Xenopus tropicalis: one gene and its partner. The protein of the gene in region 1 purifies or fractionates together with the protein of each later gene. This does not show direct contact. Links are inferred from orthologs where the notes say so. Each region holds a gene or a part of one and is shown on either strand. Other genes may lie near its edges.

What was found.
Region 2: the proteins of stk38 (region 1) and mob2.1 purify together in Homo sapiens (affinity purification with mass spectrometry; 7 studies listed by BioGRID and IntAct, with this or other methods). This does not show direct contact. The link is inferred for Xenopus tropicalis from reciprocal best matches to the Homo sapiens genes STK38 and MOB2.

What each region holds. Positions count from the first base shown.
Region 1 is NC_030678.2:53,265,352-53,269,829, reverse strand, and holds the start of stk38 (serine/threonine-protein kinase 38), read right to left. Parts: upstream 3,003-4,478; 5' UTR 2,995-3,002; coding exon 2,902-2,994; intron 2,692-2,901; exon of another isoform or gene 2,489-2,691; intron 811-2,488; exon of another isoform or gene 718-810; intron 297-717; coding exon 163-296; intron 1-162. UniProt on the Homo sapiens protein: Serine/threonine-protein kinase that acts as a negative regulator of MAP3K1/2 signaling. Converts MAP3K2 from its phosphorylated form to its non-phosphorylated form and inhibits autophosphorylation of MAP3K2.
Region 2 is NC_030680.2:21,644,616-21,648,988, forward strand, and holds the start of mob2.1 (MOB kinase activator 2), read right to left. Parts: upstream 3,060-4,373; 5' UTR 2,995-3,059; coding exon 2,978-2,994; intron 1-2,977. UniProt on the Homo sapiens protein: Stimulates the autophosphorylation and kinase activity of STK38 and STK38L.

The DNA of each region.
Region 1 (4,478 bases):
AGTTTGTTATAAATTATTGTTAAGTGCTGCATAATTTGCTGGCGCTATATAAATAAATGAGGACACTTGGCTTTTGAATTATATACAAGGCAAAGCCAGATCTCTCGTAAGATCTAACTTCACCTTCCTGGATTTACACAATGAATAGACAGTTAACTTTACCGAAGCTCCCGTTCCTCATGCTGTGTGATGAGGTTACTGTAAAAGTTTTCTAATGTCATTTTGGTCATTGTGACCCGCTCCTTTGTATGGTTACTCATTGAGATGCATGGAGTTTGCTCTGTCATTGCCATTACCTGTGAACAGAAAAAACATTTCTATTAGAATGATCCCACAGAAACATTTAAATAAATAAAACAATTAACATACTATAGTACAAATATCTTAGTATACAAAATATATATACAAATACTACAGAAGGCTTTTGCATCAGAAAATTACACATGCATAGGATAATCTGCACAGACTGGCTACAGAAATATAAAATACACTAAAATACTAACATCAGCAGGCAATAGTTTAATTTACATGAAAGTTGGCAATAAAATGGGAAGCTGGATGGGTCAGATTCAAATAATTCTAAAAGGTGGCCATACACGTAGCAATTCCAATCTTTCTTGCGACCATTGTTCGCACAAAAGATCGTTCCTACCGTCCAACCCTGAACGTAGATTTTGCTCGGGAGCCTTCAATAGCGCCCGATCAAAATCTTCTAACCTGGCCGATCGACGAGTTGACCGATATCTGCAGCCTTCTGCGATATCAGTTGCCTCTTCGAGACAGCAGTCATAGAAGTCTCTAGAGATGCACCTACAAAATTGCATAAAAACATGAGCTTTACATAAATTGCAAAAGTTGCAGTTTGCAAAGTTACTCAGTTTACACAGGTTTCAAAAGAAGTTTCCTAGGCATGGAATTTTGTTCCCTTTAATATACAATTAGGGTAGACTCCATCCTATTGTTTTTATTTTCATTTTGCAGAACAAAACAAAACAAAAAAAACAAAACATTTACAGATTTGTTTAGCACTTAGGTTGGGTACAATTGTTTACGTCATATCCACAGTGACACTGAGCAAAGGAAAGGTATGTAGCACTGGGTTATGGGGGTGTACCCCGGGTTATACATAGAGTTCAATCATCTGGTAGGGGTATATGAGAGTTCACACCTAACCATAGTTTCTGAAAATTCCCAGGTACACCCCGAGCATTGTGTATCAGTTTGATCAGGTGTAGTGTACTATTTATTAGTTAAACCCACTGTAGAAGAATTGGGGTCCATCTATTTCATGATCACCAACTTTTTTTTTGCATAGAACATAACAGAGCGTAGTAGTGTTCTAGATTTGTGTAAGGGCACTGTTTCATCGATTATACCCAATAAACAGGTCCTAGGAAATCTGATTCCAGGAAAGGATAAACATACATTAACGTAGCGGGTGACTTCTGTCCAGTATAGTGCTACCTCGGGGCATTCCCACATCAGGTGAAGGAATTTCCATCCTACTGTTGGCTTATAAACTATAAAAAAGGTGTAACGGAGCCTTTACATATGAATTGTCTGTACAAAGAAGGTCGTAGCTGTTAAAGGCATGTTGTTCATTTTATGCATATTTTTTTTTATATAATTAACAATGCCCAGCATTCATGACAGCACCAATCGAATTTCACATTTAAGTCTACTAGGGGTGCAGGGAACCATAAATTACAACTGATCCTAGTTTATAAGTAAATGTAATGAAACTATTGTATTCTAAACTTCTTAAATGTCTACTATTTACTATACAGAGAAGGCCCTAAATGTGACATTTCTGTTGTAATTGCCCTCTAGAACAATAGCACAGGTTATTTTGACAATTTTCCCTAACCATACATTTTAGTAGCCCAAACACACAGCACCAAACACCTGAAACAGCCCTCAGAGCTGCCATGTTTTTCAGTTAGAATTGACAGAAAAGTTACCTCTGGCTTCCAGGCTATTCTCATGGCAATAGAGACCTAAGTGTCTAAATATTATTCTTGTACTATGCTGGATGCCTACACAGGTCTGTTGGCTGTCAGTTTGTGGGTGCTAGAATGTGTGGCTTAAAACAACCATGAGGAGATGCTCACAAATGCAAATATAAAGAAACATAGATATACAGGCACCAACACACACACATATATATAGATACATACATACACACACACACACACACACACACACACACTTATATAAGAGACAAACACACACACACACACACACAAACACATATATACATACACATACGTATATAAGAGACAAACACACACACGCAGACATATACACGTATAAATGTACGCTACAATAAGACACAAACGCCTGAAAATAAAAACAGAACCACAACATAGGATAGTACCTATCCTCCCCCATCAAAAAACCCCAACACACCCCACTATTTCAAAGGAAAACAACAGTGTAGAAACTAGTGCTCTCATGAGGTCTATTAGGTAAATAAGCCGCGACTCACCCGCTTCGGCACCCTGCCTTCTCCCCCAACTCCAGCCCGAGGACTGGGACCCCGACCGATCACCTCAACGAGTTCACCCACTCTTTCTTGTACAGAGAACTTTATTACACTCCCCTCAAAGCAGCGGCTGAAAGCTGCACTGACTGCGCGGCACCAGCGTCAACAAATACTCTGCGTCGGAAGTACAGGCAGAACGTGGGCCTCCTTCTCCGCCATATTTGTCTCGGGCAAAAGTACCTTTGATCTACGTCATTTCTTACGTGTGGTAAAGGTTGCTTAGTTACCGTGTGTTATAAGCGAGTTTGTTGCGCTAAATAATATTGTAATTATTTATAGTATTTAAGGCAGCTGTGCCCTTGTTTTACAATTGTTGCAAAAGGCTTGTAGGGCAGTACTGAAGGAACAATACTTACCAATGAATTGACAGCTCTTGGCTGGCGTGAGTTCGTAATAGGGATGCCACCTTTGCCCTCAATAAAAAATGTACAAGATGATGATGATGACATTGGAGGGCAGAGCGGTGACAAGAGGGCTGTGGGGCCATGATATTTGGGGGCGTTTGTGCCTTTGTAGGGGCAGGGCCTTAACCTTGGTTAAGGTGGTTATTGGCAGCAGGGCCGCTATCAGGAAGTAGGGCCCCCCATGAACATGAAAGTGCAAAGTACAACATTTTTTGACCACGCCCCCTTTAGTGTGCACTATAACCAGCTCACTACCTTGAGATTACAGGATTTTTTTTTTCAAACCGAGGGAACTCCCCAAATCCTAGGCTGAACCCTCTGTCTTTATTCTGTGTGTATTTCACTTCCCATAAAGTCTCTTATGTTCTGGCACTTCCCACTGATTGGCAGATCTGTTCCTATTTGCCCGTCCGCATTGACGCGGTGATTGGCCAATAGGCGAATGCTGCATCATAACCCCACCCCGTGACATCACTGCCCCAACTCTTCCCTGCCCCATGACATCATAGCCCCACCTCTTCCCGCCCCCTGCCTGGTGAGGAAAGCTGGCAGAGGTGGCAACCCAACCCCCCTGGCTTGTACAATAAGTGCGGGACGGCCAGGCCCCCCTAAGATCCTAAAAATCCACGGGGCCCAGGACAGTTTCCCCCCTGTCCCCCCCTGATGGCGGCCCTGTTGGCTAGATTATTGCAGCACTATCAACCCCAGATGCTCCTCTGTAGGGGAGATCCTGTGGTGCACATAAATTGTTGACGATACATGCCCTTCTGAATGTGCATATGCTTTCTATGACATCACCGAATGCTTACTGCGCATGTGCTCCCGGAATTTTAAGAAAAACTTTGTTAGAATGTGCAAAAATCAGGGAAATGCCATTGGGTGCTGGGAGACCAGGGAAGAGAAGCCAAAATGGGGTAACTTGAAAAAATAGTAGAGTTGACAGCTCTGTTATTGTTTGGGTTTCACACGGTTAAAACCTAAACAGCCAGTTGTGATCCAAACAGCCCTAAGAAAACCTGAACTGTTCAGGTCAAAACCAAACAGGTGGCAACCCTAAAGTAACACAAAGGGACCCATTCATTAAAGCAAGATGACCACGATTAGAAAAAATTTGTATTTAGAACTTTTCTTACTGTTAATGATAATATTGTTAAAAAAAGGATGACTTTTTTGTGATACATTCGTTATTCCACCAAAAAGTCGTACTTTTATTAACGACTACAAAACTTTCGTTATTCATTCAGGCTTCGGTATCGTGACTATCTTTTGGCCAGGTTGGAGCTGCAGAGTGCCTTTGAGTCCTATAGAAAGCTTTCAAAATCATGCATTGAAGTCTGATTGCAACCACGATAATTTGTATGACCACGACACAAATTTTCGCACAATTTACGCACATCAGAAATTATAGTTTTTTTTCAATCGTACTTATACCAATCCGAAATTCATACTTTAATAAATGGGCCCCCATACGTTAAATTCCGAAATTCAGTATCTCAGTACATATATCACATATTCACGTTTAGCTCTAG
Region 2 (4,373 bases), on another chromosome or scaffold:
ACTGCATTGCAGACCTGACAGCCTTGGTGGATATAAGGGTGAAGACACACGGAGCTACTAAGTAGCAGCTACCTCTCACAGCTGCTAAACTCCAGAAAATCCCCTGCCATAGACCATACTGGGAATTGCCTCTGCTAAAACACACGTAGAGACAATTATAACTAAAAGATCAACACTTTCTATTCTTGTAGCAGTGACAAGTAGCTCTGTGTGTCTTCATCCTAACAGATCTGGCAGCCTTTCAGTTAAAGGGCTAGCAAAGGAGTAAAGTGAAATGAATGTATGTACATTAACGGTTTGCCCACTATCAGCCTATAAAATACTTGCTGATAGTGCTCGAGTCCTTCTCATATAAATCAGTCTTTCATCCTATAGGTGCCCTGACCCCTGATAATCTCCACTTAAGCACTAAAACCATTATAATCTAAATAGCTCATCTGTTATGTGCAATGCAAATGGGGGACCGAGATGAAATGTCCCACATCTACTAATTCGATTCATTACATAAGGGGTGTCCATCTGCAGGCCCCACAGGGGAAGGTATTTGTTTAGCTCCCTGCCAGCCTATGGGCTCCATACGCTGCTTGGTACGACATTATTATGTTTATATATTCCGGCCTATGAGCAATTAGCAAATTGCCTCACTACTACTGGCCCCTTAAATTAAAAGTTAGATGTGAGTTTGGGAACTGCAGTAACACACAATAGTTTCCACTGCCTGGTTGCTAGGATAAACTGGAACCTAGCAACCAGATAGTTACTGGAGAGCTAAACAATTTAAAAACAACAAAAAAAATAAGAAACAAAGACAACTTTAAAACATCTCAAAATATCACTGTCTACACCACACTAAAGGTGGTCATGCACGTGTATGTGGGCAGCAATTATGGGCCTGCCTGACCGATATCTGGCCTGAAATCTGGCCTGATCTGGATCGTTGATGCGGTCCCTGCACCAACTGTGCCCATTAGTGCCACTATAATTTGATCCTTTGGCCCCAGGGCCAAACAACCAAAGCCTACATTCGCCCCATATCGCCCACCCGTAGGTGGGGATATCAGGAGAAGATCCACTCGCTTGGCGACCTCAAGTGTATGGGCACCTTAAGTGTATTTAAAGGACACCTTCCCCTTTAATTCATCTTATATTACATCAGACTTAAATACGAGTAATTAGGTGCAGGGCCAACTGTTGCATCACAAGCACTGGTCTGAACAACACAAACCTCCTTTTGCTTTTCTTTGTGTCTTTCAACTGCCCTCACCCAAGGCAAAGCCTGTTGTTAAGCTAAATACTCAAATATCTGCTTGACTAAAAACTTGTTCTCACTTTCTTTGCAGGAAGGAGAAATGTCACACAGCTCAGGTATGAATGGCACCGCCCCCCTCGCTCTGCCTACTGCCTGGCACACAGGCCCAAGCTGGCACAACAAAGAGTGTGGCATTAGGAATGAGTATTTGAGGGTACTGTATTACCTGGCACACCACAATACCCTCTCACTTGCAGGGGCTGCCATGTCGGACTCTTGGCTAGCTACACTGACACTTTCGCTATTACACATCTAGCAATGATATTCCTGCTCCGTCAAACGACAGTCTAATAGAGGGTATTTAAATCCTCAAGCAGCTACAGTTCCCTGATGCAGGGAATTGCAGTTCAGGAACAGCAATGGAGTCAGAGTCCGTAGGTTCCTGCTCTGTACATATAATTGTTTTCCTTTGCTACAGATACTGCCCAAGCTACCGAATCTTGGGTGCATACACCCTACTGTATATATGATGCTGTCCCTTTAATTCCCCTCCATCTGCCATGAGATCTGCTGGAAATTAAACAAGAGATATATACAACAGATAAGACATGTTTGCACTTTACTGTATTTACAGTAGCAGCGGGAAATGCAGAGCAGAGCTCCATCTGGCAGCGCTCCTTGTGCAGTTACTGGGGCACTTTCCATTCACATTATGAGCAGTGACAGGCAGGGGTGTACAACTGCAGTAATAGAGGGACCAGCCTGCCATTGGCCTAATAGTTAAACATTCCCTCTTATAGCAATGTCCCTGCTGCTCTGTCAATACAGTAACCTGAGTCTCACTCCCAGGGTTAGCCAGTGCTGCAGTCAATAGGCCCTCCTGCACTTACATAACGCCAGCTCACCTCCCCTGATGCTGCCAGGGTTAGCCAGTGCTGCAGTCAATAGGCCCTCCTGCACTTACATAATGCCAGCTCACCTCCCCTGATGCTGCCAGGGTTAGCCAGTGCTGCAGTCAATAGGCCCTCCTGCACTTACATAATGCCAGCTCACCTCCCCTGATGCTGACAGGGTTAGCCAGTGCTGCAGTCAATAGGCCCTCCTGCACTTACATAATGCCAGCTCACCTCCCCTGATGCTGCCAGGGTTAGCCAGTGCTGCAGTCAATAGGCCCTCCTGCACTTACATAACGCCAGCTCACCTCACAGACACACACACACACACAGACACACACCTCTGCACTCACCCATATCAACGTCATGTTCTGCAAAGCCTGCAAGGGAAATTAGTTCCTATATTGGTATAAATGCTAGTTGGCCAACTACTGTGATCCCAGGGCAGGCCAGTCCTGCACCCACATCTGATGCATTACATGTAGCATTTCCTTGCTCTCCTGCAGCAGCCCCCCCCCCCCTTCTTGCTGCTGTTCTTTAGCCAAAGCTTCAAACACCGGATCGCTGTGCATGACGGGAGTTGTAGTCAACAACTCCTGGAAAGTGACCCACAATGAATAACCCGTGCCATGCACTGTATTGCTGCGCCACACTGGTACACCTATAGGTAAGTGTCCTGCAACCCCATGTCCCTAAATCCTCCCAGACCCCCCTCCTGTCACCCCTCCCATTGCCCTTCATATTAGAGCCACTCCACCTGCTCCACCCCCTCGGGCTGCTCAGCCGGCTTCATCCTCCCCACCTCACCGAAACGACCCCGCCTTTAGCCACTTACCCCATTAACCACTCCATATCTGCGGCCTACTCTGGCTCAGCTCATCCTCGGTCTCTCGCTCCCTCCCGCTCCCCCGGCTCCGGCTCGGGCGGAAGTAAACACAGCACCGCCCGGGGCACGCAGGCTTCCGGGTCTGACGTCACCTAGCCGGACAGCATGGGGAGGCGGGGCTGTCACCAACCCCTAGGAACTCTGGGAAGCGTAGTTGTGCTGAAAGTGAATTCGATTCTATTCTGTCTGTATGAGTTTATTTTCCCATGAACATAAAGTCCACACATTAAAACATTTGACTTTTCCACGTAATAGTTCTGAAGCCTCTCTTTATCCATAATTGGCTCATATCATGCCCTTTTCATTCTCACTTCTTTGCTGTCAATACTTACCACAGACATTTTTTTTGTTGTCCCTGTGACTGTCCCATTACAAAGTAAAACATTGCCTATGCAAAGGAAATGGAATCCTTTAGCCACATTCTAAATTCCAGTGTACATCTATAAAAAAAAAATTGCAGTTACATAGATGTGCAACTGAATGCAGTAAATGAATGCAGTAAATGTTCTGTCCATTTCTGCACTGCTGGTTCTGCCTGTTAAAACAATATTGCCCTGCCTTAAACGGGGCTTTTAATAAGATGTCTTCTATGCTCCGGCCTTGTGGGCATTCAAATATCTGTTTGGTTATTTATAAAAACCCGTAGTATTTTCAGAGACAATGATTTCTTCAAAGCGAGGACCAAAGAAAGAAACATAAAACACTGATGGAAAGGTTTGTTAGTGACCCCCCAGCCCTAAATGCAGTGTCGGACTGCCCCACCAGGATACCAGGAAATCTCCCAGTGGGCCCAGGTGTCAGTGAGCCCTCCTGCCCTTTACCAATTGGCCTGCTTCATGGTCATTCCCTATATCTGAATGGGAACAAAGAGGAGAAATAGATGGAAGAATAGATGTTCAGCGAGGAAAGGAGGAAAAATAGTTTGGAGAGGGGGCGTATGGTATAAGGTTTTCTGGTGGGCCCCTGGGGTCTCAGTCCGACATTGGCTAAAGGCTTCCATCCCTCTCATAAAGAACTGACCTAGTGATAGTCATGCCACTATTTCAAGGACCAGGGAGTAGCTAGAAGGAGGATCAATAGACCTGGGTGTATAAGGGAACAGGGGCATCAGTATTCTTTTATATAAGCACACACCTCCCCAAGGTACAGGTCTCCGATATTCGACCAAGGTGACCCAGGGTAGCTTTTAGTAGTAGACCTGGAATTAAGCAAGGTCTGAAAGCAAATAAAGTGGCACAGTTCTATTTTAAACACATGTATGCCCCTCTACTTTTCATTCTAGGGGCCTGTAACCTTCTACAGGTATGGGATCCGTTATCCGGAAACCCGTTATCCAGAAAGTTCC